4 linked regions of the Lonchura striata genome follow. The protein of the gene in region 1 interacts with the protein of each later gene in a biochemical or structural test. Links are inferred from orthologs where the notes say so. Each region holds a gene or a part of one and is shown in the gene's direction. Other genes may lie near its edges.

Region 1 (7,823 bases):
GAGATCCCAGTGATTCTAAAGTCAGGTACTTTAGAATCACACTTTTTTGCTGTGTTTTCTGCATAGTGACGGATGAATCCATCTGTTAAGTACATATTGCATATCTAAATCTGTTAATATCTAGCCTAAAATCTATCTAGATAATAAAAGCTATTTCCCTTCCGTCCCTTGCAGTGTTTCATGAGTCTCAGTCCTGCAGGGTAGGGTTGGTATCATCCCCTTCCATGAATTCTCAGGAACACTGAGCACAGCAGCCCTTCCCTGGTGCTGAAGGCTAAGGATTGTGAGCAGCCTGAGATGCTGCCTGGATCCCCACAGCTTGGGAATGTTGTCCCAGGGACTGAACGTGAGCTCTTCAACTCTTTTCTTCAGAAGGGATTAATTCAATTAACACAAATAACAAACCAGCTCACAGCACTCTATAAATAGACTGGTGGGCTTTGACACAGCTCCTGGCTATGCCAAGAAATGGGACTAATAATAGCTGCTTAACTGTGGGGTTCAGGGGGCTGGAGAGAATTGGCAGAGACAATGCCAGGATGGCTTAAACCTGCCATGAAAATCAGCTGGGCAAATGTGGAATCCCAGCATTGTCTGAGTTGGAAGGTACCTTAAATCTCATCCCATCCCACCCTCTGCCATGGCAGGGACATCTTCCACTGTCCCAGGCTGCTCCAAGCCTCACCCAGTCTGTCCCTGGACACTGCCAGGGATCCAGGGGCAGCCACAGCTGCTCTGGGCACCTGTGCCAGGGCCTCTGCACTCTCTGCAGTATCCCAACAGCCATGAAGGAAATTCTGCTGGAGGGGATGGTTCAGGGTGGGGGGCACAGAGCCCTTCACTGCCACACTGCCAGATCCTTCTCCTGGGGACTGTTTGGAGGATAATGGAGTCAAGAGATGTTTTTTCTAGCTAAAAAGCAGCAATTTCCCTCAGGGCTGAGGTCAGGGCCCTGGCAGCACCCCCAGTCCTGCACCTCAACCTCCTGCACTCCCCAGCCCCTTCCCCTCCCACTGCTCCTGCTGCCAGGAGAAATTCCCAGCTGGGCTTTTGTCACCGACGCACGCGTGTTTCTGCGGGAAGTTTCTATTTCTGTGAATAGCAATTTTTCAAGCAATTCCTCCCCCGCCTGCTCGCTTTCACAGGAGCCCTGACGAACGCCACTGGCATTCCTGGAAGCTGCAGCTCACTCCTGCATGCCAGCCCTGGCCAGAGACTTCTCCCTGTCATCCCAGCCTCTGTCCTACAGCTCCACGGCATGGGAATTATGCTCATGGTATCTTGTGAGGGTCAAATCGAGCTGGGACCACTCTGTGTGCTGGGTTCCCAGTGCTCACCGTGTGCCCTGAGACAGGAAAGGGCTAAAAAGAAGTGAGGAAGCCTGAAGGAGCCCCTAAAAAGAAGTGGGGAAGCCTGGAGGAGCCAAGCCTGTGGAAAACCCCAGAACATCAACATCTCTGCTTAGGGGGCACAGAGACCTCCAAGAACATCCTGGCATGTCCACTTTCTCAGGCCACAGCTCTTGCCAGGCCTAGGTGTGCAGAGGAGACAGCAAGTGATTGATTCCTGTCTTTGATTAAACCTTGAGCCAAGCCCCCCAGTGCTGGAGCCAAGCCCCCAGTACTTCACCAGTCTGTCAGCCCTATTTGATGGACCCCCTGCTCAGGGTGAACCTCCCAGTTTGGGACTGGGGTCTTAAGGGCACTTTGAATTCCTTGTTTCCATTAGAAGACACCACCTGCAGTACTCGCCTGGGGTGTCTATCCCACATAAGTTGACATAGGAATATTAATTGCTGTGTCATAGGAATATTAATTGCTGTATCACAGGAATATTAATTACTGAAGCAGGGGGTCCCACAGCCAGGCAGAAGTGGTGGCTGGGGGATGTGCTCTCTGCTGGGGTCACTGAGCAGTGGCCTCGCTGCACTCACAGGGTGAGGCTGTTTCCCCAAAGGAGGTGAAGTCAGAGTGCTGTGACCTGGATTCAAGGACCATGGTGCTTTCTCCATCCCAGCAGCAGCACAGGGAAAGGCACTGGAACCATCTGGATGGCTTCCATGCATCCAGGCCATGCTTATCAGCATCCCTGCCTCGGGGCACAGAGTTGAGAAATGAAAGGGAACAACCCAAATGGTGCTGTTCTGCTGCACTGAGAGCTGTTCAGAGATCCCACTGCTGGCTCAGATGGGAATGGGCCCTTAGAGGATGGAATTATCAAAAGCAGCTCTTGGGAATGAAAAAAAAGCTGGACAAACTGCTGATTGCAGCTGCCTGACTGGAAAATAAAGTGAGTGCTCCCAAGGCATGTAGCTCAGGGGGAATGAGCTCTGTGTCCACTTGAGGACCGAAAGACCAAAGTCCCCTTGCTGTTCCCAAAGAGAGAGGCACTGGACAGGGGATGGGATCAGAGGGGAATATCCTTGGGGTGATGTAGAAGTGCTTGCCACAGTGAGCATCACCATACTGCAAAGGCAAAGTGTCACTTAAACCCCGAACATTTTAGTGAAAAGAAAATCAGGAATATGTAAAGCATCTGTTTTGTAAAGAAATAACCTTCAGGGTTTTCTCTGCTGCAACCTCAAGAAATTCCACAGCTGCTACTGCGTGGGAGGGAGCCCAGGGAGCATTTTTCTCCTCTGTGTGAGGCTGATGCTCAGGGCTGGCTGCAGCCCCTGGCTGGGAAGGGCTGTGCTGAGCAGCACATGCTGCAGCCCCCCTGCCTCAGGTGCCCAGAGCTTCTCTCCACCCACTTCTCAGCCAGCCATAAATGTTACAGAATTCTTACAAATCCTTGTGCTTTCCAGAGGGGCTGAGACCTCAGTAGTCCTGTCCCAGAGGCTCCTGGCACTGCTTGAAACACTCTGCAAGGGGCAGAGGGGATGTGCCAAGAGTGATTTGCTACTCCTGGAGGTATTTTCTAGTCCTAATTAATACAGTAAGAATGAGTGTCTGCCAAGGATGTAAAAATACTCGCGTTTTCAAGATCCAGGGCAAGTAAGGAAAAAGCAATGCAGACTTGTCTGAATGTCTGCAGACACCATGTCCCCCTGCCCAGCTCCTGTTTAACACCCATTGGGACTCTAGGGAAGTTCCTGCCCTGGCTGTGGCCGCTGGGATGAGCCACAGCTCTGTGCCCAGCTCCCACTGCTCCTCCTGTGACAGCCCAGCGCAGGGACACCCAAAATGTCCAGTGTGGGGGCAAGTTTTGGGATGAGCAGCTGGGAGCCTGTGTCCCTTCCCATGCCAGTCCCAGGATGGAGTGGGAAGTGCCAGGTCCTCCTGGTGCCCTGTGTCAGGCCAGAACAAGGAGCACTGGGGAGCACTGGGGAGCACTGGGGAGCTGTATCCCTGCTGGTGCCCCATCCCAGGATGGTGAGGGGAGAACCAGGCTCTTCCAGAGTCCCATCCCAGGATGGACCAGTGGGGCCCTGGTGTCCTGGCCTCTCCCCATGCTCCATCCAGGCCAGAGTCGTGTCTTTCTGGTCTCCCCATCCCAGGCTGGAATGGGAAGAGCTAAGGAGCACTGGGCCCTCCAGGTGTCTGTCCTAGGATACAATGGGGAGCCCTGTGTCCATCCCAGGATGGAGAGGAGAGCTGTGTCCCTCGTGGGCAGGCATGGGGAGCCCTGGGGAGCGCCGTGTCCCTCTGGTGCCCCTCCATCCGGGCTGGAGAAGGCAGTGCTGGGGAGCACTGGGAACATCGTGTCCTCCCGGTGCCTATCCCAGATGGAGCGGGGAGCGCCGGGGAGTTGTGCTCTTCCCTGTGCCCCATTCCATGATGGGGAGCACCGCGGAGCTGTGTCTGTTCCTGGTGCCCCGTCCCGGGTTGGTGCGGGGAGCACTGGGGAGCATCCCGGTGCCCCGTCCCGGGAGGGAATGGGACGGAGCCGCGGTCCCGGTCTCTCCCAGGGCTGTGTCCCGGTCCTGCGGGGCGGTGTGTGGCGGGAGGGGACAGGGCACGGAGCGGTGCGGGGCGCTGAGGGGCGGTGCGGAGAGACTGTGCAGGGTGTGGAGAAGCGGTGCGGGATAGGAGGTGAGGGGCGGTGCGGGCGATGTGGGACGGGGGATAAGCGGTGCGCGGGGCGCTGAGGGGCGGCGTGGAGCGGTGCGGGGCGGTGAGGGACGGGCGGTGAGGATCAGGCGGTGCGGGACGGGCGGTGCAGGGCGGTGCGCAGGGCGGTGAGGGGCGGTGTGGGACGAGCGATGCGCGGGGTGTTGAGGGGCGGTGCGGGACGGTGTGGGACGAGCGGTGTGGGACGAGCGGTGCGGGACGAGCGGTGCCGTGTGAGGGGCGGTGTGAGGGGCGGTGTGGGACGGGCGGTGCGGTGTGAGGGGCGGCGCGGGGCGGTGTGGGACGGGCGGTGCGGTGCGGTGTGAGGGGCGGTGTGGGACGGGCGGTGCGGAGCGGTGTGAGGGGCGGTGTGGGAAGGCGCGGGGTAGTGTGAGGGGCGGCGCGGGGCGGTGTGAGGGGCGGTGTGGGACGGGCGGTGCGGTGTGAGGGGCGGCGCGGGGCGGTGTGAGGGGCGGTGTGGGACGGGCGGTGCGGTGTGAGGGGCGGCGCGGGGCGGTGTGAGGGGCGGTGTGGGACGGGCGGTGCGGAGCGGTGTGAGGGGCGGTGTGGGACGGGCGGTGTGGTGCGGTGTGAGGGGCGGTGTGAGGGGCGATGTGGGACGGGCGGTGCGGTGTGTGGGGCGGTGTGGGACGGGCGGTGCGGAGCGGTGTGAGGGGCGGCGCGGGGCGGTGCGAGGGGCGGTGTGGGACGGGCAGTGCGGTGCTGTGTGAGGGGCGGCGCGGGGCGGGCGGTGCGGTGTGAGGGGCGGCGCGGGGCGGTGTGGGACGCGGAGCGCGCGAAGATGGCGGCGGGCAGGCGCGCCCCGCGCACCGGGCTGCTGGAGCTGCGCGGCCCCAGCGGGCAGTGGCTCCGCGTCCTGCTCACCCTGGCCGAGGACGTGCTGGGGGTCAGCCCCGCAGACGGCCCCGGGCCCGGCCCCGAGGCCCCGGCGGCGCAGCTGAACGGCGGCGAGCCGGGCTCCGCCGCTCCCGAGGCGCTCGCCAACATCAGGCGCACCGTGCGCGTCGTCAAGCAGGACGTGGGGGGGCTCGGCATCAGCATAAAAGGTGAGGCCGGGCCCGGGGGTCCCGGGGCGGCGTGGGGAGAGGGCATCGGCAGCGGGACCTGTTGCTGCTGCGGTCCCGCGGCTCGCTCGGAGCGAGCCCCGCGGGGAGCGGGGCTGGGGTCGGGGTCCTCACCGTCCCCAGCCCCAGCTTAGCACGGGGAGGGGATACGTGGCAGTGACGGCACCGAACCATTCCCAGCCTACGGAAAGAGCGATGATTTGGGGTGCGGAGTGACCGGCCAGTGCCTGCCCGCCGTGCCCGACCGGGGTGAGGGACCCCAGGGTTTGTGAGCCGGTGGGAGACCCGCTGTCCCCTTCACCCACGGGTGGGGTGCTGGGGGCACCGGGTTACGCGAAAGTTTCTCTTTTGCAGCCAAAAGGAGGGCTGGGCCGGCGTGTCCTTGTCCTACCGTGTTCCTGAGTTGGGAAATGCCCCTTTAAAGCTGTCAGCAAAACGAAGGGAGGGATGTAAAGCCCCGGGAGATCTGCCGGCGCTGGGTGGGGTGTTAAACCAGCGCGCTCGAGTTTGGAGATGTGCTCCCGGGAAGCCTTTCTGTTTTATGTCTGTTTTCCCTCCCGAGCTGTTCCGCTCCTTGGTGACTCGCCTGAACTTCAGGCTGGAAACTTCTTAGGGCAGTGCCGTTCCTGCCTTTCTGCCTGCCTTTGATTTTCACGGGGCTCCGAGCGTGTTGGAAACTGTGAAAGCAGGATGAAAAGGGCAGCGCGGAGACAGGGACAGGGCTGTCACGGAGCGTGGCTGTGAGAGGCAGCGGGCCGCCCCGGGGCAGTGACAGGACAGCTCTCCCCTCCTGACGTGGCTTCTCCTCCCAGCTCAGAGGGGGCACAGACGCAGCCTCCGGCTCCCTCTGGTAGTGGGGAGGTTTTGCAATGTGAATGTGCGGCTGCTGGAACTGGATCGACACTGCTGGCCGTGTCTGCAGGGTGCCCCAGCGTGCCAGCCCTTTTTTTGGGAAGCACAAACCCCCTTTCGTAACCACCCCATGGCTGCCAAGTTATTGCTTGCTCTGTGGCTCCTCCAGGAAAGGAGAAACTTCCCTTGGTTCAGTTAAAACTTTACTTTTGCAGTGACGTATGTGGAAAAGATGTAGTTGCCATCAAAAATGGGTAGTGGAAGGAGTTGTGGAGGGCGGGGCAGCCTTGGTAGGGCAGGACAATCTCCTCACCGAGCTGCTGGCATGTCGCTGTTCATGTGCCAGCCGTGCTTCATGCAGGGACACTGGGTGCCACCTGGGGTTGAATGTCCTGCCGCAGGACGTGGCTTGGGGCTGTCAGGACAGCGGGGAGCCGAGCGAGAGCCGGGCTGGCGGAGGCTCTTAGCTCTGGCAGGGCTCTCGGCACTGGCAGCCGGGCGAGGAGCCGCTGGCGCAAGGACGGAGCAGCCCCCGCCGGGGCCTCTGACAGCTGATAACCGGAGCCCTCACTGGCTTGGCAGGCGGCTGAGCGAGGAAATGCCTGTGGCACCGGCTGGGAGCAGCCCGGGGCGGGCAGTGACAGCGGGCTGCGCTCAGCATCTCCCTCTGGGATGAGGATTATCTCTTGGAGACTCCTCGGGACAGGCTGTCCCGGGGCGCGGGGCACATCGGGCACTGCTGATCCCCGGCTGCCACGGGCAATGGCTGCTGCATCCCTGTGCCCTGGCACGGAGGCGGCTCGGATCTCCCTGCGGGTTCAAAAGTCGATGTGCAAATTGATCTCCTGAAGCCGCCGGGAGTTTGAATAACATTCTTTTAGTCAGGACAGTGGGGAGCACCCGGCAAATAGGGCTGCTGTGTGGACAGGAACATGCAGCCAGATTGGTTTACCTCTCCCTGCCTCTTTGGCCTCTCCAAAAACATTCAGCTGTGTTATCTGTTGAGATCATAAAGTCCTTAGAGCCAGGATAGTTGCTCAGCATACATGATTAATAATGCAAATAACGATACACTTTCCTGCCAAAACTGATGGGGAGATGGCCAGGTTATGTGTTCACTCTGTGAATAATCCGTGACCAATCTGAGCGGTTTTGGAGCAATCACTTCATCAGCTGTAAAGCCTCATGGTACTTTGGCTGCTGTGGTTGGTACAGGTGTCCTGTGGGTATCTGGGGGAGTGGGCAGTGGGCTGACCTGGCACGGTGCTTTGAGTGCCAGCAGAAAGGCTCAGCCTTGCTGAGACCATCTGGTACCACAGCATCCCTCTCCCCACACACTCCTCCAAGCGCTCCTACAGCCACAACCGCTCCCTGTCTCTTCTGTTTCAAGGTGGCCGAGAGAATAAAATGCCCATCTTGATCTCCAAGATCTTTAAGGGGCTGGCAGCAGACCAGACCGAGGCGCTGTACGTGGGGGATGCCATCCTCGCCGTCAATGGCACCGACCTGTCCGAGGCCACCCACGATGAGGCCGTGCAGGCCTTGAAGAAGACGGGCAAGGAAGTGATCTTGGAAGGTAGGAGACAAAGATGTGATGAGGGCAGAATGGTTCTCCTTCTTGTACTGGGATGACACAGGGGTGGCATATCATCTGCAGCTGCATTTGCATACTCTTTCAAATGGAAAGCAACATATGCAGAGTAATTTGTCTGCTCATCCGGAGAGCTGGAGGTAACTGCTGGGATCTCCCTGGATCTCCCTGTCTCCTTACGGAGAGGGAGGGATGTCTGTGCCAGTACTCCATGCCCAGAGGCTCTGTCTCCCCACTGTGGGA
Region 2 (7,904 bases), on another chromosome or scaffold:
CCCGTGGTGCAGGACAGCAGCAGGAGCTGTGTTTTCTGGCACCACAGAACTCTTGGCAATGGAATTCACTGCCCCAGCCTCAGTGCAGCCCCCAGCCACCTTCCTCCTCCTCCTCCTCCTCCTCTGTAGCCCCACACCAGGTTAGAGCTGACAGAGAGATCCCAGATCAGGAGATCACGGGGTGTGCCAGCTGCAAGGCAAATCCCATGACCAGTCAGAGAGCCTTGACAGGTCTCTGGGATGGCTGGGATCCCTGGCCAAAATTCCATGCCTTCCATTGTGCTGGAGTCAGCTTTGATGAGCAGAACAGCCCTGTCTGGCTGGCAAACGTCTGCCAGTGACCCACAATGCTTCTGTTGTCTCCAGAGCAGCGTCCTGCCTCGTTGAGTAGTTACCTTCTCCTTGCATCCCTGATCCGTGATAGGGGAGTGATGAGGCATCTGTTTTGTAAGAGTATTCAAATTCTCCAAGCTGTTTACAGACATTCAAAAGTGAATGAGCAGAAATTTCCTGACCATGAGAGTCTGTGGGTGCTGCTCCAAGCGTGGAGGCAATTCCACTCAAACCCTTTCGAGATCTGCTTCATGAGTTTTTCTCCTTGATACAGTTAATGTTCATTACTTACTGACTGCACTGCTGGCCACTCCTTTTTGGATGTGACCCCTGCACGGGCTCTGTCCAGGATGAGTGAGGGATGCGAGGAGTGACAGCTCAGCCCTGGCAGCGCTGCTTCCCTGGAGCCTCAACAGACCCTGGAGCTCAGACAGACCCCGGAACCAGGACAGACCCTGGAGCTCAGACAGACCCCGGAGCTCGGGCAGACCCCAGAACCTGGACAGACCCCACAGCCTGGACAGACCCCAGAACCAGGACAGACCCTGGAGCTCAGACAGACCCCGGAGCTCAGACAGACCCCAGAGCCCAGGACAGACCCTGGAGCTCAGACAGACCCCAGAACCTGGACAGACTCCAGAGCCCAGGACAGACCCCAGAACCAGGACAGACCCTGGAGCTCAGACAGACCCCAGAGCCCGGGCAGACCGCTGCCCCTGTGGGCACCCACATCCCTGCTTTGAGCAGGGAATGACGAGCTCTTGCCAAAGGGCAGGAAAGCTGCCCGGTTCATTACTGCTTATCTCCAACACTTGTGCTGTCAGTGCCCTGGGATGGGCTGTGTCACCCAGCGTCCTTCATTTGCACCGGCTCCCATCAAAGTGGTGACAAAGGAGCTTTCCCCAGACCGAGCTTTCCCTTTCCAGCTCTCCCAGTGCCCAGAGGGGACTCACCCAGCACGGGTCAGGCCCACGCTGAGACCAGCCCCGGTGCTGGCTGCCCTACCTGCCCTGCTGGCCTAATGGGGCTGGCCAGGAGTGACTCCTTAGGGAGATGAGCTGGGTCCTTTCCCTTTTCACAGCCACCTTCCCTGTCTGACCTGATGAAAGGGCAGAGCCATTGCCTAAGAACCTTCTCTCCTGCCATCAACCTCACCAAACAAAATCCCTCCCTCTGCCGGGACAAGGACAGACACACCTGCGGCGTCTCACAGATCTTGTCTGCCTTACACCGAGGACATTGGTTCCTGCTGCCCTCCCTTCCAGGCCACATGGAGATGGAGGGGACTCGGAGTCTGGAAAAGCAAGTGGAAAGAAAATAGGTTACTTTCTTTAGCGGGACAAAGATAAAGGAGATGCTTTGAATTTTTGCACAGGTGAAGTATGTGGGGAGGCAACAAATGGAGTGTGGCCTGAGGTTGCTCCCAGGAAGCAAAGAATAGATGTCAGATTTTAAACTAAACCAAGGGAGTTTCATATTAAACAGTGCCCTGAGAAGCTGTGCTAAGCTTGGATTCCTTCCTTCCTTCCTTCCTTCCTTCCTTCCTTCCTTCCTTCCTTCCTTCCTTCCTTCCTTCCTTCCTTCCTTCCTTCCTTCCTTCCTTCCTTCCTTCCTTCCTTCCTTCCTTCCTTCCTTCCTTCCTTCCTTCCTTCCTTCCTTCCTTCCCTCCTTCCCTCCTTCCCTCCTTCCCTCCCTGTTATTCTGATTTCCTTGGTTCCATGGAAGGAAATCCCAAAGCCTGGGCACACCATGTCCTTAATCCACCAAAGGTTTGCTCCTGTGTGATCACTGAGCAGTGAAGGCCTGGCTTTGGGCTCTCAGGGTTTTCTTTTGGGGAATAAATTCTAAGCTCAGAATTTAGAAGGAACAACCCAGAATCTCTTTTTGAAGCCAAAAGCAGTCAGCGCAGTGGTCAGACACACACTGATGTGTATTTTTTGTTGTATTATTGTAATTTAACCCCTGTTTTTTGTTGAGTTACTTAGTCTGTTCCACAGACACAGGAGGTACTGTCCTGCTCTAGGAGACAGGCAGCAGAAAGGCTCCAGAGGGGAAGAGAGGTGGATTTCCTAAGGAAAGAGAGGGAGGGATCTTTAAGGGTCCGGTGATCAGGGTAGGCTGGGACAGCTCTGAAATTCAAACCTCTGCCCAACCCTCCTAAAGAGAGCCATCAGGATGCTATTTTATTTGGAGCTTAAAAATAGCACATGGTACAAGCAGTTGTTATGGATCTGCCTGTCATCAGGACATGGGATTTCCCCTTACCGGCTCCAGCCCTGGAAAGGTACCCAGGATTGGGAGGCTGGAGAGAGGTGGGCAGAGGGTGCAGCTTAACCCTGCCTGGATGGGGTGTGCCCCCTCCCACACCTCATGCCAAGGGCGTTTCCTCCCTCCAGTGACCAGACATGAGACACACCTATTTCAGTTTTAGTCACCGTGCTTTGATTTGCTTATCTGGCAAGCCAGTGTGTCATGTATTTTCATGATTTAGTAGCTCTGCAGCTCCCTCTGGGCAGATGGGTGACACAGAGCCCTCGGGGACATGCAGGAGCCTAGCTGTCAACGATGGGCCGGTGTCCCTCCCTGCCTGCTGCCCGGGTTAACTCCCAAAACACGCTGGAATGGTTTATCCCTGAAGAACGAGGCTGGATGTTCCTCCCATGGAACATCAACCCTCCGTGGCTGCTGTCACTGCATCAACCCAGTGTCACCTCAGCCACGGGAAATGGTTTCACTGAGGGCAGACAACGGAGGAGACAGTGCTGGTGGATGAGGGAACAGTGAGCCGTGTCACCCACCTGGACTTGCGTAAAGTGTTGGACACTGTCCCACACTCCATCCTTGTCCCCAGACTGGGGAGACAGGGATTTCCCGGGTGGAGCACTCGGTGGGTGAGGAAGGGGCTGATGGACACTCAGCTGGTCGCTGGCTCGGTGTCCGAGTGCAGAGCAGTGACAAGAGGGACACTCAGGGTCGGGAGTTCCAGGGCCTGGAGGGGCTCCAGGAGAGCTGGAGAGGCACTGGGGACAAGGCAGGGAGGGACAGGACACAGAGAATGCCTTTAGCTGAAGGAAGGTACATTTAGATTTTTATTAAGAGGAAATTCCTCCCTGGGAGGGTGGGCAGGCCCTGGCACACGTGCCCAGAGCAGCTGTGGCTGGCCCTGGATCCCAGGCCAGGCTGGATGGGGCTTGGAGCACCTGGGACAGTGGAAGTGTCCCTGCCCATGGCAGAGGCTGGCACCAGATGATCCTTAAGGTCAGTTCCAACCCAAGCCAGTCTGCGATTCTGTGACTGTAAAAACACATCCCTTCATCCCTCACCGTCCTGCTGGCTACACGTCATCCCTTTATCCTCCTGCTCTCCTCCTGCCCTCCTGCATGCACAGAGGGCTGCCTTTCTGGGCCAGAAGGGCCGTGGAGGATTATGAGCAGCAGCACGAGTGGTCCCCGCTGTTCGGCCACCTGGAGGGGCGGCTGGGCGCTCCATCTGTCCCTGGGCCCTGCTTTGTCACCAGGCTCCTTCGGCTCCTTCACAGCCACGAGTGCTGTGCCGCCCAGGCGTGCGCACGCTCCCAGGGCTTCTTCTCCCTCTTTAAATATCTCCCTTTCCTGCCCCACAGCATGCTTCCCATGGGATCGCCTTCACGCCCTCAGCCTTGTCCCTCCAGCCTGCTCCCCTCAGCTCCCCTGTCCCCTCAGCTCCTCTGTCTCCTCAGCTCCCCTGTCCCCTCAGCTCCCGTCTCCTCAGTTCCTCTATCCCCTCAGCTCCTGTCTCCTCAGCTCCTCTGTCCCCTCAGCTCCCCTGTCCCCTCAACTCCTGTCTCCTCAGCTCCCCTGTCCCCTCATCGCCTCTGTCCCCTCAGCTCCCCTGTCCCCTCAGCACCTCTGTCCCCTCATCGCCTCTGTCCCCTCAGCTCCTCTGTCCCCCTCAGCTCCCCTGTCCCCTCAGCACCTCTGTCCCCTCAGCGCCCCTGTCCCCTCAGCTCCCCTGTCCCCTCAGCTCCTCTGTCCCCTCAGCTCCCCTGTCCCCTCAGCTCCCCTGTCCCCTCAGCACCTCTGTCCCCTCAGCTCCCCTGTCCCCTCAGCTCCCCTGTCCCCCTCAGCGCCCCTGTCCCCCTCAGCTCCCCTGTCCCCTCAGCTCCCCTGTCCCCCTCAGCTCCCCTGTCCCCTCAACTCCTGTCTCCTCAGCTCCTGTCCCCCTCAGCTCCCCTGTCCCCCTCAGCGCCCCTGTCCCCCTCAGCTCCCCTGTCCCCTCAGCTCCCCTGTCCCCCTCAGCGCCCCTGTCCCCCTCAGCTCCTCTGACCCCCTCAGCTCCCCTGTCCCCTCAGCCGCGTCCCCGCCCTCCATCGCCGCCCTTGGCCCCGCCCCCCGCTCTGGCCCCGCCCCCGTCCCCGCCCCGCGCCGCGCCCAACCGCGCTGCCCGTTCACCGCGGCGCCGCCTCCGCCCCGCGCGGCCGCGCGCCGCCCGCGCTGGCGCTGATTGGCCGCTGCCGGGCGCGGCGCGGCGCTGATTGGCCGGGCGGCGCGGGCCCCGCCCCCTCAGCCAGCAGGGTAGTGCGCTCGGCGCGCGGCCAGCGCGGCTCCGCTCCCCGCTCCTCCTCCCGCCGGGCCCGCAGGGGACAGCGACGCTCGCCAGGCGCCTCCGTCCCGGCGCCTCCGTCCCGGCGCTGCCCCGCGCCCCCGCCGCTCGGTAAGGCCGCGGGGAGGGGGCTGCGGCCGGGCACGGGGCGCGGGGACAGCGCGCTGCGGCTGCGGCGCTCCCCGACGCGGCCCGGGCGGGGGCTCCGGCCTCGCCGGTGCCCGCGGCCGGGCCGGGAGGCGGCAGGGGCTGCGGGGCGCGGGAGCCGCGCAGGGAGCGCCCGCAGCATCCCCGAGCATCTCCCGGGGGAGCGGGCGGAGCGAGCGGGCGCTGCCGGGGCGCGGCTTTGTTGCCCGGGGGAGGCGGCCGGGCCGGGTCCGGGGGTCGGCCGGGGTGGAGGGGGGGTCCCGGGCGTTCCCCGGCCTTGCTCCCGCGGGGTCCCTTCGGCTCCCGCGGGGGTTTCGCTCAACGGCGGCGCGGCGGTTCCGCAGTTCTCCTCGGGACGGCGGGGAACTTTCCGTGCCCCGTCCTTGCCCGGCGCCGCGGCTCCGCTGCCGGCTTTATAAGGAGGGCGGCGGGCCGCGGCTGAGGATGAGCATGGGCAGAGCGCGGCTCGCAGCGCTGGGTGTGGCGGGCCGGGGATGCGCCGGGCTCCGGCCAGGCCTGTGCGCAGTCATCGCGGCCGAGCGGGCCCGCTTTCGGGATGAGCAAGCTTCTCTGCGGAGCTGGGCTGCGAGGGACGGCAATTAAACCCGTGCTCGCGGTGCGGGGCTGCTGGTAATAAGTTCAAGCTCGAGGCGGTGAAGTTTTGATGCTGTTCTGCTGCCAAAAGCCGCTTCGGAGTGTATCCTGGTAGTATGAGTGTTGTACGCGCTCCTTCTCTACGAGGGGTGTGTTAAAAGCTCTGTGAACATGCTGAATTTGGATGTTTAGGTCTCTTTTCTTTAGGTGGTTCTTGATCTCTCCTACTCGGTCGTTCCCTCTCGTATTTCCTTCTCCTGATTTCTGTATGGATTTAGTAGATTAGCCCATTGATTTTAGAGCTTTTAAAAAAGTTTTTATTTGTTTTTAAAGCTGGACTCATCCATTCAGTGAACCATGTTCTTCCCAGTTTACAATTCAAGCTGGAAGGCTTCTTGAATAATACAATAGGCGTCCAAGCCCTGCTCAGTGTTTCAGTGTGCAGTAACAAGCCTTGCTCGGGGCCTCCTCCTGCTCAGCGTGTGATGCTGCTGCAGCTTCATTTTGTAAACTCAACGGACAGGACTGCACTGGAGTTTTACAACTCTAAAGCTTCTTTTCTCCTTGCCAGGGCCTGATGTCCCATCTGGTATGTTTTGCTGGTATTGTATCTATAAGGTGCTATTGCAGCTTAACTCCTTTTATTTGTGAAAGAAAAATTGTAACTCAAAATTATTGACAATACAGTTATGACATTGGCTGGACAGACCTGTCTGTCAAATTGACTTTTTGTGGTTTTGTTTGGGTTTTTTTTGTGAGAAGCAAGGAAATTTCTGATTATCCTTCCAGATGCATTTTGTGGGATTCATGGGCTCTTTAAATTTTAAACTTTTTTATTCTTTTGTGCCTGCTTGCATCAGAAGAGATAGGCTTTTTCAGTTTGAAAAAGAGCTTAACTTACTTGCTGTTGCAACAGCAGCAATATCCTGTGTCTTTTGTTTTGTTTGGTAATAATTACATGTTAGTGACAAATAATAAGCTTGAAGGCAGAATAGCTGATCTGTTTGTGACTGTGATTGTTGACTCTGAAGCTGAAGGCCGTGGATATTATTAAATCTGTTTTTGTGTGTCTCTGCAGAAATGACATCAGGGAAAGATCAGATAATACAAAGAAGTGTCAGTGGTTTGGAGATGCCAGCCTGGGAGTTCAGCTAGAGCCCGGTGTTGCCATGGGTACAGTTTGTGGGTCACCCTGGTTCCCCCCGAGCCCTCAGCTGATATTAGGAGAGGATTATGTCACTCCTGTCCTTAAGGAGCAAACGGGGAGGCTGCTGGAGGACTCTTATGGCAGCAGATCCTGACTTTATCAGCTTGCTCCTCCAAAGGCAGGGCTGTGCCAGGCGCTGTCCTGTGCTGCCCACTGATGCCAGGCAGTGGGGACACCGTGGGACACCAGGGCTCCTCTCTGCCAGCTGCAGCACCTCACCCTGGCAGCAGACCTGGAGATCTGCTTTAGCAAGCTGCCTGATTTGTCTGTGGGGAGCTTTGAAGCTTGTGAGTGCTGTGGTAAGTGCTGAGTGCAGCCCTGTTTGGGTGAATAATCACACCAGGGGCTTGCAGACACTACTGGAGCCAACCTGGCCTTACTCTGGTAAGTGTCATTTACAGGTGGCAGTACTAATTCTGAACTATTTGGGTTCAGTTCAGTGTCTGTTCCCTCCCAGGTACACCAGGCAGTTTTAAGTCAAGGTTTTAAATAGCAGAGATTGCCCAGACTGTTCTGTGATGTTATCAAATACCCCCACGCCTCCAGCAGCCCGAGCAGCAGTGAGAACAGAAGCAAATTGGGGTTTTGGAGGGGCAGAAGGTGAGGCTGAGTGGAGGCTGGGGAAGGACTGGATTTCCAGCTTTAAGCTTGTTATGTGCAGTCTGAGGAGTGCTCAGTTGAAGCAGATGAATTACGTATTCCTGCTGGTAAAAGGGCTGACACAGCTGTAATTTCAGCCAATGGGGCTGTAATTATATTTGAGGTCCCAACTCCTGTAGTGTTTTAGTGGTTGCTTGTCTTCCCTAGAAATAAATGAATCTGAGCCATTCAGTCAGCTCTGAGTCCTTACAGGGTTCAGATCTGGTTTACACCCATTGCATGTTCTTGCTCTTGTGTACCTCAGGCTTAAACTCACCTGTTTGCTGAGCCGGTGATGTCTCCTCCACTCAGTTCCTGGACTGCATTTGTCTCTGCACTGTCTTGATGTGCAAGCTTCCAAATTCTGACCTACACCAAACTTATGACTCAGGGAAGCCACTGG
Region 3 (7,245 bases), on another chromosome or scaffold:
AAGTAGAGCTTTCTAGTATGGTTTGGACTGCTACAACTACAATGGTGTATTTTGACTTGCAGTCTGATCCTACAGTTCCCTCATCCATGTCTTCCTTTTCTTAAATAGAAATCATAAAACATATTTATTAGAAATTTACCATCATCTATCTTCTAGAACTTCATAGAAATATCCTTTTTTTGCTTATAAATATATATGGGAGCTACATTTAATGTCATACTTAACATCTAAATTTTCTCTCTTTATGTGCTTCTTCACATAACAGTTTGCTGCTGCATGTTCTTGGAGCATGAGATGCCAGAAGTTCCAGCTAACAATTATTATATATTTTAACAGGAATAGTTTTGAGCTCTTGTCATACACATGTTTCTTTCCAGTTGTTCCTCAAGTCACGGTTAGCATCATAAGGCAAATTTACATTAATTATTATCCTACTGTCTGCTTTTTCTGCAGAATATTCCTTATAAAATCCCAGGGAGAAATAAGTCTACTATGCCCTCGTAATGCTTTTTGATCTGGACAAAAATATATGCAAACAGGGATTTTTAACAGCATCTGATATTTCCAGGTTTTATAATCATTACGTTTTCTGTCAGCATAGTTGGAAAATTGGGTATTCAGAATAATACATTTATTCTTAAATGCAGAAATAGAGCAAATCCAATGATATGGTAATTTAAGTAATTCTGTGAGGCTAATTCATCTCCTTCATGATTTAATTAAAATAACAGTTTCCAGACTGCAGATCCACCCTTTTCACTACTACTAGGCATATCTAAAAGAAGGCGCAGTGAATGATCCAGGTTCTCCCATTTCAGCTAAAATCAAATTATTAGGAGAGAAAAAAAGAGAGGTGATAAATAACCCTTGTTATACTGGATAGAAAAAGGATGTCAGCATTATGATTGATGTGGCTGTGGGTATCTTGGAAATCTGGTTTCTCATTTAGCAGCTTTCTCTCCAGACTACTCTTTTTTTTTTTTTAAATTTTTCACTATTGTCGTTTTTCAGAATAGACTTGATATGAGTCCCTGTTTGCTCAGAATGAATGGAGAAATATCCAAGTCCAAAAATAGAACATACGTGGTATTTTTATCCTGTTTTCTGAGTAAATCCAAGCTCTGGTACAGGAAATCATTCTCCCAGTAAAAATATCATCAGTTTTTACTGCTGTTCATCCTAAACTCAGTGGTAAATGGCCATGGTTTTGCAAACTTTCCCTGAGAAAATATGAAAGGGCTGCTGTTCTCTGGAGCATCAACTTCCTTGGATTATCCTGCTGAAGCACAAGGAATGAACAGATGTGCTTTTCATACAGGTTGTGTGGAAGAACTAGACTGAGGATAGGCTGCATTTTAGTCTGCCAAGTGTCTCATTAAACACTGCCAGTCATATTCAAAAGAAGAGTACTTGAGCCAGATTCTTTGACAGGAGAGTCTTACAGAGCCTAGTTAGTAAAATATGAATAAAATATGAACTTCCTGAAGTTCAATTCAACAACCGCTGGGAGACAAAACTTATTTGTGGAGGCAAGAATTCACTGCTATACTTTGGTACCTAAGGGTCTCCAGCACTAAACAGCTGAGAGGAGAGGGAAATGCAAGTTCTGAATCATGTCTCAGCACATCTGAAATGCTGTAGTGACCAGTCTTTTCACCTGATAATCCTGAGCTCCCACTGCTGCAAGGTTTTGCTTGTTTTGAAAGGAGCCCCCAATCTTACAGGACCTTGGATGTGTTGCCTTGGAGGGGAATAGAAATAACAGTGAAGCAAGCCTAGGGAAGAGCAGAAGAGCAAAAAGAGAAGGCTAAAAGGAAAGTAGAATTATTCATGGTCTGGAAGTGCAGTAGTACTGTAGTTCAGTCTTATTCACTGCAGAGATTACAGCAGGGAGGTGAGGGCTGGACTGAGGACAGACCCTGCCAGTGTGAATTTCAGCATAAATTAATATTGGGCATAGGAACATAAAAGAACTTTGTAAATCTCATGTTCCCTTTGCATGGAAATGTATTACGTCGTTGTGCATTTTTTCATAGCTAACCAGTGGTGCATATTTCTCACCTGCATCACAGTAAAACAGGACAAACCTGTGTGACAGAGATCTTAGAGATTCTTTACTATGATACAACATCTCTATCAAAGATAGTGATGTGCAGATATTCTCTCTTTGTTCTAATAAGGGATAATGATATTATCCCTTATCAATGTGAAGGAGCAGAGGAAATGTAATAGCTCTCAAATAAAAACTGTTCTCTGAGTACTATGAAAATAGAAAGCTGAATGAAATGAGTCAAAGTATTTATCTGCATATACTTAAAGCTTGTTTTTTGCTTTTAAATTAGTTAAAAATTGGATCAAGTTAGATCTCTGAGCTAGATTGAAATGCATGTGGTTACGTGATCCCTATTACATTAGAATGGATTTTAAAAAGCACAAAAAAGCCTTCTGCTTCTCCCATTGTCAGTTATGTGTGTATCACGTGTGCATAGAATCCTACACCACAGTTTGTTTATCTTTGCCCGAGAACATGCTTTAGCTAATAAAAACAAAATAACAGTGCTCAAAAAGGAATACCAAAGTGATTGGTCTGTTTCTACTTGTCTTTTTCACTCAGATGTCCACTGAAAATTTCATTTTAACAGTCACAAGATAACGTAAGACCATGCATCTGAGATTTTGAAAGAGAAGTAGAAGGTAAATAAGTCATTATCTTTTATCCCAAGTCCTTGAAACATCTCAAAAAAGAAATAAAAGGGTGTTCAAATTCTACAGATAAAGGGCAACAAAAGATTTGTTAGGGTCGAAATGACTGAGCTCCGGAAAATGCCCCAGAATTAAACTTTACTGATGAAGGAGTGAGTCTAGGTGATCCTAATGATTCCATAAGTTTACCTATGATAACTGGTATTTTTATGGCTTCATACATGTCCTTGTGTTGAAGTGATGGTAGGGGTTTGATCCATGACTTTGGTATGCCCCTGTGCCAGGTTACAGAAGAATCTGAGGTTTGGTATTAGAAATTAATTTATAGATGTTTTTAACTGTTTTTGAACCCAGATTTTGGGTTGCTTTTGTGCTGACAGGAGACAGTATTTTAATGGTGTTTGGGATGACATTAGTGATTTATTATATTGACTATGGAACCTGAAGTATTGTGAATGTTAAAAAAAAACAGTTAGCTCTAGGTGCTATTTATGTGTTTCACGGCACTGTTGGCACGACTTGGTGCCTGGCAGGCAATATGTTGATTTGGCTGATCCCCTATGCTCCCCTAAATAGTCATAGGTCATCCACTGACATGAGTGGGATGAAAGGTATGGGCAATAACTGATGTAGGCAGCAGAAGTACATGGATAATGTGGGTTGTGCTGCTGGGGATCTAAAGGGAAATAGCCACTGGGCTCTCTTGGTTGCTCTATGGAGGAGGAGCTAGGTCATGAGAGAAATGCCCAACCTATTTGCTGCACATGTTGGATTTGTCTCCAGTTGCAAACCCTTTGTGGCAAAGTGTCTGGTGTTGGCGCTGCCTTTGATTGCTTCTCGATTCAGTCTTTTTCTCCATGAGGGGAGTGCTTGCAGTTTGTACTGAGGTGGTAGAATTGGAGGTGGAGGGTCAAATATAGCCAAGCTGTATTTCCATGGCCATCCCTTACAGGGAGTGGAATGTGCCACAGCTTCAGTTTTCCAGGTGCAAAAGGAACAGGCAGTCTATACCCTGCTCGTGCTGCAGCGGGGAGAGGGAATTTGTTGCAGGATTTGAGGTGTTAACTCCCAAACACAAAACGGTACCCTCTAGCCATGAACTAGGTAGGACCTGCTTTCTGTTCAGGCACAGAACTAGGAGTGAAAGTTGACTTGGCTTCATTTGCGACAGGGCTGCAGGAGCAGAAGGAATGTTTGCTCGGCTCGGGGCCGAGCGAGGCAGCGCCGTGCAGGTGCGGGCACATCTTCTCTCCTCGTGCCAAATTTGATCCGGGCTTGGCTTTGGAATTCTCCGAGCGACCTCAACAAAGCGTTTCGCTTCCTTCGGGGCGCGCCCAGAGCAGCAGAGGCCGGTGCTGGCAGCATCGCTCGGGGCGGACAGCTATCGACTCCGGTAACGGCGGCGTTAACAGGGCGCGGGGGCAGGAGCCGTGCCGAGCCGAGCCGTGCCGTGCCGAGCCGAGCCGGCGCAGTGCGGGCGGCGGCCGGCAGGGGCCGGCGGCGGGCCGGGAGCGGCGGCAGCGGCGGGCGGCGGCTCCGGAGCAACAGGGCCGGCTCGGAGCGCCGGGGGCGCGGTGCCGCGGACTGGCCCAGCTCCCGGCTCCCATCATCCGCCGGCTCCCATCTTCTCCCGGCTCCCATCCGCTCCCGGCTCCCATCATCTCCCGGCACCCTCGGCCGCCAGCAGCGCCCGCCCGCGCTCCGGCCGGCGGCTCCCCGGCCGCGTCGCCCCGAGTGGGAGCAGCCAACAAGTGGATGGAGCGGGCGGCAGCCGGCTGAGCCCCGGACGTGCCGGGGGCAGGCGCCGCACGGAGCCGGCCCCGTCCTGCGTCCGCCGGAGCCCGGCTCCGCGCACGGATTTAGCCAGCGCTGATTTACGGAGCTGCCGCCCGAGCCGGGCTCGCCGGGACCGGCGGTCGCGCCTGCTCCGCCTCGCACACGCCAAGCACACGCACACCGCCTTCGTTTTCCCCGTGGGGACGAGACCCTCGCTCCTTGCCTTGTGGCCGATGCCGAGGCGAGCGGCTGTGGCGGTGCGCGGTGCCCCCAGCCCCGGCCGCCTCCCCGGCTCGCTGCCCCGGCAGCCGGCTGGAAGGGGCAGGAATAACCCGCCAACCTGTGGTGCGCACTGACCACAGCCACCTGCGAGCGTGGAGCAGCCGGCACAGCCCCTCCGCGCTGCTGTCCCCCGCTCCTTACACCAGCGGGAGCAGCGCTGCTATTTCTCTGCCTAGGATCGGTAAGTATAACGGTGTTTTTAGGCTTTTCTTCTGCATGACATGTAGGTACGATTTGAAAAATAGCGTCGTTTAATAGTTCGCGTTCACCTTCTCTGGTGTATTAATAGATGTGGCTATAAATGAGGCTTCTGTTTCAAAGGGGGGTGTGAGGGGCTGTGGGTATTTTTGTGTGTGTGCTTGCATGTAGACGTTGCTTCAGTGCACCTGCAGTTGTTTTCTTGACATATCAGGGTATTTTCACTTGGCTAAGCATTGTACGTGCCCGTTTCCAAATTAAATCCAGTGAGATGTTCATTGTGACCGAAACACAATTCTGCTGTGGATTAAAATGTAACATTCCCGCATCTGATGCGTTTCTGCAAATACAACAAAAGCTCTTTGTCAAGATACATTTATTCTTTAACGTTTCGTATGGATACATGGAGGTGTATCTCTTACGTATGTGCTCAAAGACCTGAATGCATTGTGCGTTGCAGTATTTTTATTAGTGTTTATATGTGTTGGTGTTTCAGAAGCATGCATATGTTTGTGTATGGATGCAAGTGCTTGTATGGGTGGGGATTTTGTATCTGTCTCTATATATATGTGACATACCCACCCACATCCTTACCCACAGAGTCGTTCAAAATCTCTGTGCATGTGATGTGGGTGTGTGTGTAATGTAGAAGTGTGAATAGTGTGGGCAGGAGAAGATTTGAATGCCATGGTAATAGATGACACAGTTTCATTTGATCGGTTGACCTTTTAGGAAAACAATCCAATCTTTTCCCTTTTTGTTTTGTTTATTTTTGTGTGTTTGTGCATGTGCCTCAGGTTAAGTGCTTCTTCTGCATGACCATAACCAAAGGGTGACCCATCCACTCCCCTGTGTCCCATGGGGACCTCAGAGCCAGTTTCTCAGTCTTCATCTCCTCCTCCTCCTCTTACCACTGCTGCTGATGCCCTGGGTGCTGCTCCCAGGTTTGAGACATTGTTGACAGGCTGAAGAATGGATTTGTAAAGACCTCCTCACTGTGTAAATGAAGTGATGGCTGGAATTAACTTCAACTCTCCAAGTAAGGACATTAAACAATACGTTTGCTAGGCCAAAGCATTACCAGGAACAAATAATGAGCAAAGAGTCTATTTGCATTTAGTTTTAATGATGAGCTAAAACTGTCTGCGGAGAACAGGTACCCTTTGGTTTGCATATTCTTTTCCTGAGGAATGCAGCCTTTATAGCCTGCGAGGCAGTCGTGATTCTGATCAGATACAGCTGTGATGGCTGCAGGAGATAAATGAAAATAAAGGGCCTTGGTGGATGGAAGAACAAGGTCTCAGCTGTTCTCTGGTCCGATCTGAGAATTTCATCTTTTCTCATTAGCGAAGCAGTAGCTTGTGTCAGACGTTCTGGAGAAGAGGAAAATGCGGATGTGTGGTTTTCCAAAGTACAGATTCAGTGTTGTGACCACGTTGCCACACTTGATGCGCAGCAGACTGTCCTCCAAACGCAAATGGCTTTGAACTTCCCAGCGAAGGTCGCGGTGGTGCTGTAAATAACGCAAAACCCTGTTACGGCCAGCGGTTACGAACAAAACCAAGCAGCTGCAGGATGGAGGTCGCCATGGTGAGCGCGGACAGCTCCGGCTGCAGCACCCACATGCCCTACGGATACGCGGCCCAGGCACGGGCCCGGGAGCGGGAGCGGCTGGCGCAGTCCAGGGCGGCGGCGGCGGCGGCTGTGGCGGCAGCCACGGCGGCGGTGGAAGGTGGGGCGGCGGGCGGAGGGGGACCCTACCACCACTACCACCAGGAGCAGGCCCGCGGGGCCTCCTCCTCGCACGGCGGGAGCGCCTCGCGCAGTGGCCTGCCCTGCCGCCAGAGCGGTAGGAGGAAGAAGGGCAAGAAGAGGAGCCACCGCTTGGGGAGCAGGGAGTGTGGCGCCTCCTTCCCCTGCTCCGAGCTGCTGCCGCTCAGCGGCTCTGAGGAGAGGATACTGAAGGACTTGAGCGAGGAGGAAGAGGAGGATGTAGATGAGGATGAAGATGACGAGGAGGAAGGGAAGCTCTACTACAGTGATGACTATGGGGAGGATGAGTTTTCATACTCGGACCAGCCACCCGATGACGGTGGAGGCCCCGGGGGTTACAGCTCCGTCCGCTACAGCGAGTACGAGTGTTGTGAGCGCGTGGTGATCAACGTGTCGGGCCTGCGGTTCGAGACCCAGCTGAAGACGTTAGCTCAGTTCCCGGAGACGCTGCTGGGGGATCCGGCCAAGCGGGGAAGGTACTTCGATCCTCTCAGGAACGAGTACTTCTTCGAC
Region 4 (7,012 bases), on another chromosome or scaffold:
AAGCACACAATACTCTGCAACGTGGGCATCTTGCTTACAAGAGCTGCTAAGGTGCAGTGAAGAGTCTCCATTTAAGATTCTCAGTGACAGATTCTGTCATAAACTAATCTTAATTATATTTATGTTTACCTGTTTCCTCTGTAACTTAACTGCATTATGAAAAGGTTCCTTATTTTTCTGTTAGTAGCAAGCTATCCAGTAATAGCAGACTTGCACGTGGCACTGATGAGTAAGTATCATTTAGGTAAACTAAATATATTTAGAGACACCTTTCATAGTTGTTAGCATGCTATATTTAGAGAGCAAGAGCTGAGTGATGGATTTAGGTAGGGAGGTGTAGGAGAATATGGCTAGAAATTTAAGTGAGGAGTCATCTGTAGCAGTAGCTAAGAAGGGCCTTCAGTGATGATAATGCATGTAAAATCCTTCAGAGAACATTCTCCCTGCTCTTCTCATGGTCAGGGGAGAGAAAATGGCTCTTCCAAAAGGGAGTTCACTGCCCAAGAGAGATACTAGTTTCTGCATCCCATTCCTTGGAAGAGTCACTTTTTCTGTGTCAGCAATAGATCGGGCTAGAGGGGACAAGCGTCACTAAGCCAAAGATTGCTTTTCTGAATACCTCCCACAGGCTCTCTGAGGGCAATGTTCAAGTGAAATATGTATGGAGCATTTTGGATTTCTAAGAGCTGTCTGCTGTCTTTGGGCTTGCTTGGACTTCAGAAGAGATAGGAAACAATGCAGTGGAAATGTGCATATATGAGACCAAGTGGGAAAAATCATGGCATAAAAATTTTTATTCCTTCTTTCTGAGGCTGTCTGTAACATCCTTTTCCATATTGCCAATATGTCTGAGTGTTTGACAGCATTGAAAACCTGGGTTATTTAAAAAACAATCCTTAAGGAGTTTAAAATTCATTGTCTATTTAAAAAGCACAGTCATAGGGAAGGAAAGGAAGGGGAGTGGTGAATGTATGTGGATCCTGGAAGCAGGGCTGCAGAAAGGGCAAATCTGTGTCAGGCTTCTGAAGAGGAACCTTGGCTGATGTGAGTCGTGGTTGGTTTAGAGGGCATTTGCTAAGAGAAATGGTATAGCAAGGGGTGGTGGTACATTTAACTGGGCTGGATCATGGCTTCAGGATGACTTTGTTCCCTCTGTTTTCACATAAACTTTTAGTAGTTCTTAACTTTGCTTGTGATCATTGGTTGCCTCTTCAGTAAAACAGGTGCATCTTTGTTGCCCTCTTAGTTCAGATAAATAAGTTTCCATAGTTTTCTATGGAAAACTATAGTCTGAGACCAGATAACTTCACACTTATGTGTGTTCACATTTCCCCAACAGTTGGAGTCAGCAGTGGCAAGTGTAATTGGGTAATATTTTTGTATAAATTGATTTGGTTTTCAGTTTCAAGGAGGTTCCAAAACAATGAAGCCCTTCAGAATAGCACTGGATTTCATAAGGATATAACATCTCTGCCATCTGTTCTTTAGTGATAACTGATATCTTGTGAAACATTTTTATGACACAGCTATTGTTTTCTTTTTATTTTATAATTTTGTTTTATTTTCTTCAGTTACAGAGCACTGAGCATATTCTTGAAACTAGTCTGTGCCTTACGAGTGTGTCCTGTCTGATGGTACATCAGAATCAGAAATGCAAAAGGTTTCTATCCAGTGCCTGCTTTTTCTCAAAAGATAGGAGCAGCTGCTTGAGCAGTGGACCTCTTAGCCAAAAGTCAAATATCAACCCCTTAAGCACTGTTTGACAGGGATTTGGCAGCTACAGCCATCCTGAAGGGTAAGTAGAGGACAAGAAAGGTGAGAAACGTTGCCCCCTGGTCCCCAGGGTCATGAAGAGCTAGGTGTGTAGGCAAAAATGAGACTCCTGGTTCCTGAGGGGAGAACAGACTGTGATCTGTTCTCTACACATTGGGATGTGCTTCCTGTGCTGCTAGAACTGAGAGCATCCATATTTGAAGGGGGAAAAGAAAAAACATCCCAAATACTGTTAAAAGGAAAAAGTAGGTGTATATAGTAGATAGCCCTGTACCTCTTGATCTTTCAGCATAGCTAGAGATTTTATTCCCTTGCTTCATGCATCATGCCTGGAGCTAATGGCCATGTGTTGTTGAAGTTAAGATTTCTGTGAAATGGCTCTTGCTACCACAGTGGTGCTGTCACTAAGGAGCTGCTCTGACATCTGGCCTGTCCTTTTAATTCCCAGTTTGCTGGATGTGCAGGGTGTGACCTGAACAGGCTTGTTACTGAATGTCTCCTGGATGGAGATGGTCTTTGATGCAAACAGTTGTGCTACCTTGCAGCTGAGGCAGTTGGGTGGCCATGGGAAGAGTAAAATGAGATAAGAGTACAGATGAGATAATCTGCTTATTTAATAATTTCTCAGCAGAAATTTGAAAACTAGAAAGCAGCAACTAGCTGATGACCTGGATGCTTAGGAAAGGGAAATATTATAGTCTAAAAGTCCAAATATACTGATGGACCAAATGGCCTTCTTGCTGTAAAAAGAAAAAAAAAAAAAAAGAGAGAAAACAAAGAAAAAAGTAAAATAAAATTTTGATAATGCTGATAGATGTTACATGTATATGTATGAGGAAAATATCCTTAGAAGAATTTATGTTCTTCATCATTCCAGTCCAAGGAGCTGTTCATTTTCTCCAGCCTTCATAGCAGCAGTAGTATTTCAGTGTTTCTGATGTATTTTTCTTCCATCACATGCTATCCAGTGCCAGATTTACAACCTATGCCAATGTAAGTGACTAGGTACTGTTTCTTCCCACTTCCTCCCAAAATGTATATCCTAAATTTGCCTTCTGGAAAACCTTGGTGCTACAACTAAATATGTTGAAACAATAGATATGAAATAGATAGTGAGGGGACCACTTAGCTCACCAGTTTATTTGGGGTTTATGCTCTGTATTGTTTCCCAGCTGAAGCAGGCAGATATTTAGTGTGTTCCACATTCAGGTGTGCAAATAGAGCAAATAGTTCCTTCAGCAAGAGGAGGAAACCGGGTTTGGGTATAATCTGGTTTACCTGGTGGATGTAGTTGGGTTGTTTTTTTTTTTTCTTTGTCAAAAAACACATTAACAACTTAAACAAGAGGTGTCTGGAAATAGCTATATGTGTGCTCCATAGTAAATTGTAGCGTTTCATCAATTGAATGTAATTGGTAAGCTGTTATTTGAGAGAAACAGACACAGAGGTTTCTCCTTAGCAAATCAGCATTTTGCATGCACAGCATTTCCTTCAAAGATCAGTTTTTTCAACTACCATCCATTTCAAAACACATCATAACAATACAATTCACCAGGGTAAGTCTTTGTTATATGAGGAAACAAAAATAAAAATGTGCCTTAGTTTACTTTGTGGGAATTTCTGTGGTCAGAAATGAGAGTAGGAACCAGCAGTCTCTTTGGGAGTTGTGAGCTCAGGCATTCGATCAGTTGGAAAAGATACTCACAGATGTTAAACCTTCAGGCATCCATGCACTCCATTTGTAACTTCTCTATTAATGAATTTGTGATGATTATACAATTTCAATTTGCCAGAAGAAAAAAAATGGGCTACAATTCCTAAGACGCTATTGTGTTATTCTGGTGTCTTTCACTAAAATGAAAAGCCCTGCATCAAAATGCAGGGTTGTCAGAGGTCTTTCGAGAGTAGATGTGCAACAAGGAAAATATAGAATGAGAGATTAAATGACAAGTGTAGTTTCTTGAAGGAGCTCAATTTCCTTTTCTGAAGAGAAATTTTCTTCAGGATTTGAAATACTATTGCAGCATAGCTACTTGGCAGCTTGGCTTGTTCGTGTGTTATGAGAATGATGCTAATAATTCCTACTGACTGCTGTGACCTCTGCTGGAGGGAAAAGAGTCCATTTCCTTGTAGCCCTTTCTCTCAAAGCCTGATAACATATTCTTAATTTATTTATTTACTACCTGTTTGTTCCCTGCAGCAAATTTCCCTGCCTGCCAGGTGGCTGAGGTAATTTACATTGTCATTTAATTCTTGTCATAGATGTAGTTCAAAAACAAATATCTGATGAAATTTTTAACCTAACACGGCTTCGGTTCTACGGGTGTATGCTTTGTATTCTTTGTGGGGCTTAATTTAACTTTGCCTATGAATGTCTGCCTTAATGTTTACATCCACAGCTACATTTCTGTATTTGTACAACACGCCTTGCTCCGAGCGTTCAGAGATGTCAATGTGTAAGTCTGGATTGCATCACCTTTCTGAGTGCATACCCTGAATCTGCAGTCAGATCTACTCAGTTTGAAGGCTGCTGTTGCAGTTCTGCCTCCATTTAGTTGGAAACTACTGACAGTGGAATCATTTCAGAATAACAGATCTTTGGCTTCAGACTGTGAGGATAGCCACTAATTATGTATTTCTCATTCTTCGGTACTGCAAACATTGGTTTACATTTTGACTTTATGCTCCAGTTCACTAATTAGATTCCTCTTTAAGAAGATGCATGTTTAGTATCATTGTTTTGGAAACATTAAGAGGTTTGGGGTTTTTGTTTGTAGGGTGGAGAGTTTTTTGAGGAGTTTGTTTGTGATTTTGTTGTTGTTTTGCTTGGTTTTTTTTTTTTTTTTTTTTTTTTTTAACATGGAGGACTTTTTGCTGTATCTAAAGCAGGCCTGTCACTGGCTTCAGATCAAGAACTGTCCTTTGCTGTGTTGGCTCTGCCCCAGAGGGGTTGTAGTGTGGAACAGCAGTGAGCACACCTGTGCCTTGTTTTTGCAGGGACTCCAAGCAGTACATTGCAGCCCTGTTGTGTCAAACAGCCAAAACTTTTTGAGCTCTGACCCAAAAAGCATGACTCAGAGTTCTGCTTGCTAGCTCTCAGCAGCCTAGGAGGAGCTTACTAGAGACACACGTAGGGCCACGTGGTGTTTGTTCTCAGCACATTTGTGGGCAGTGTTGTTGTGGTTTGGTTGTAAAAGCAGCCCCCTCAGATGGGGAAACAGGTCAGCAGAGTGCCAGGTTTTGGGTGCGAGTGGGAGGCTTTCAGGGAGGAGTGTGAGATGGAGTTAGCTGCAGCCTTGGAATCTCTGCCTGCTCCTTTCTTCTGGTGAAATGGTGTCTTTCTGTGCCAGCTTAGCTGCCTGTGGTGAGACATGCAGACAAACCAGGTGTTGGAGCCACAGCTGTGACACTGGCAGAAGATGAAAATAGCTGGGAGGGACAAGCCACAGGATTCATGTGATGCCTTAGGTTCTTGTGTGTGGGAGGGAGGGAGCTCAGGGTTCCTGTTTCTGTCATGTCTCTAGGGGCTGGAGAGGCAACAAAAGTTGATGTAGAATGAAGCTTGAGTAGAAGAATCCTAAAGAGGAAAGTTCTGGGAAAAGGGAAGGCTTCTGCAGGACATAAAGTAATTTGGGAGGAATAACAAATGAAAAAGTCTAGATAACCATAGTTTTTTTTCCCTTCAACTTAGCCTGTGTTCTAGCAAACAGCACAGAAGAATCAAAACCCTCAGTATTTCAGAAGGTCAAAATCTAAATTAATGTACTGGGCAAAACCAAAATGGTTCCATTAATGGTGCTGAAAGTATGATCGTCTCTTGCTGGTTGGATTGTTTAAAGGTCTTAATATACCTTTGCTGTTTAGAGGGGCTGTGTTGGCATCTCCATCTTCTCTTGCTCCTTGACAGGCAGATTTTACCAAGCTTACTTCTTCATGTCCAAGGCTTTGACGCTTAGTGAGGGAAGCACTTAAACTCTTGGAGATTATCATTACCATAGTGTGGCACATGGAGAGGAATTTACAAACCTAGAGTCTGTGGTTCTCATCTTTATTGATAGACAAGAATTGATTATAAAAGAACTTCTATGCTATTGAAATTAAAGTTATAAAAGCAAATTCCAGAAGTGGAAACAAATATAACAGTTAAAAAAATAATATATTTTGAAAAAGCCCAAACTTTAGAATCAGTTCTGGGTTTTTTTTTACTTTTTCTATAAAATCTTTATCCTTATTCAAGGGAGCAGTGGAATTTGAACATAGTGATATTTACATAGTAAAGTGTCAAGTTATTTCCTTTTCCTGTAAGATTGATATAATTGATATTTCTATTATCAGGGGAAAAAAGTCTAGCTGCCTGCTTGACATCTCATCATCTCCTTTAAAAATCTTCTAAAGACCTTGTGACAAAAGGCAGTCTTAAGAATCCTAGCAACCACTTATGGATGATAAGATTTATTCTATTGTGAACTTAAGTAGAATAGAAGAAATACAATGGTTGTTGAAATAGGAATGGTGATGTTTAATATATACATCACCTCTACTGCTTTTTTGGGGAGTGGCACTCTTCCTGTAACCAGTCTCCAGCTGCCTCATACTGAGGCAGCACTCTTTGTGTAAAGTATTTAGTTATTCCTTTGTATTCACATGAGTACTTCTCCTTATGTGGAAATCTGAAATACCACTGAGTGGAGGAGTCCTTACAGCATCCATAGGGACAGGTTGTGATTGCATTTCTATGGCTGGTGAAAACCTGAAATGGTGGTGGATGCAGAAGAGTTTGGATCACCTGTACTTAGGGTAATACTAAAATATCTAGATGGCAGCCAGTGTGAGTTTTGTAGTGCCAGCAGTGCAACTTTAAAGCACCTTTAAAGACCAAAGGGTTTGGTTTTTTAAATTATTGTTTGCAGTATTTTCTCTTGGTGTGTTGTGACATTACAGACCCAGGTATGCAATCCTTAGGACTCCAGTGCTGCCCACTTTTCTCCAAATTACATCTCTGTGGGAGTAATCCAAGAAAGATAGAAGGAGGACTTTCTTCTTGATGGAAAAGGACTGAGTTTCTGCATAATCACTGCAATATTCCTTTGTTTGAGTTGTAGTTTGAAGAAATACTTTCACAGGTCCTGTCTCACAAAAAACAATCATGGTTATCTTGACTTCCAAAACTGCTTGTGTACTTCCAGAATGAAGGGATAACATTTCTCATGTTTAGTTGTAGAGTTTGCATCTCTTGATT

Evidence for each region.
Region 2: the proteins of SNTA1 (region 1) and MAP4 interact in a test that uses a peptide from one of them, tested with the Homo sapiens proteins (2 studies listed by BioGRID and IntAct). The link is inferred for Lonchura striata from reciprocal best matches to the Homo sapiens genes SNTA1 and MAP4.
Region 3: the proteins of SNTA1 (region 1) and KCNA4 interact in a test that uses a peptide from one of them, tested with the Homo sapiens proteins (2 studies listed by BioGRID and IntAct). The link is inferred for Lonchura striata from reciprocal best matches to the Homo sapiens genes SNTA1 and KCNA4.
Region 4: the proteins of SNTA1 (region 1) and FRMPD4 interact in a test that uses a peptide from one of them, tested with the Homo sapiens proteins (2 studies listed by IntAct, with this or other methods). The link is inferred for Lonchura striata from reciprocal best matches to the Homo sapiens genes SNTA1 and FRMPD4.

The regions. Positions count from the first base shown.
Region 1 is NC_134619.1:12,417,902-12,425,724, reverse strand, and holds the start of SNTA1 (alpha-1-syntrophin), read left to right. Parts: upstream 1-4,817; 5' UTR 4,818-4,854; coding exon 4,855-5,119; intron 5,120-7,379; coding exon 7,380-7,565; intron 7,566-7,823. UniProt on the Homo sapiens protein: Adapter protein that binds to and probably organizes the subcellular localization of a variety of membrane proteins. May link various receptors to the actin cytoskeleton and the extracellular matrix via the dystrophin glycoprotein complex.
Region 2 is NC_134603.1:156,288,248-156,296,151, forward strand, and holds the start of MAP4 (microtubule-associated protein 4), read left to right. Parts: upstream 1-4,893; 5' UTR 4,894-5,025; intron 5,026-7,904. UniProt on the Homo sapiens protein: Non-neuronal microtubule-associated protein. Promotes microtubule assembly.
Region 3 is NC_134608.1:61,417,485-61,424,729, forward strand, and holds the start of KCNA4 (potassium voltage-gated channel subfamily A member 4), read left to right. Parts: upstream 1-4,240; 5' UTR 4,241-4,942; intron 4,943-5,756; 5' UTR 5,757-6,534; coding exon 6,535-7,245. UniProt on the Homo sapiens protein: Voltage-gated potassium channel that mediates transmembrane potassium transport in excitable membranes. Forms tetrameric potassium-selective channels through which potassium ions pass in accordance with their electrochemical gradient.
Region 4 is NC_134604.1:98,557,534-98,564,545, forward strand, and holds the start of FRMPD4 (FERM and PDZ domain-containing protein 4), read left to right. Parts: upstream 1-4,009; 5' UTR 4,010-4,140; coding exon 4,141-4,229; intron 4,230-7,012. UniProt on the Homo sapiens protein: Positive regulator of dendritic spine morphogenesis and density. Required for the maintenance of excitatory synaptic transmission. Binds phosphatidylinositol 4,5-bisphosphate.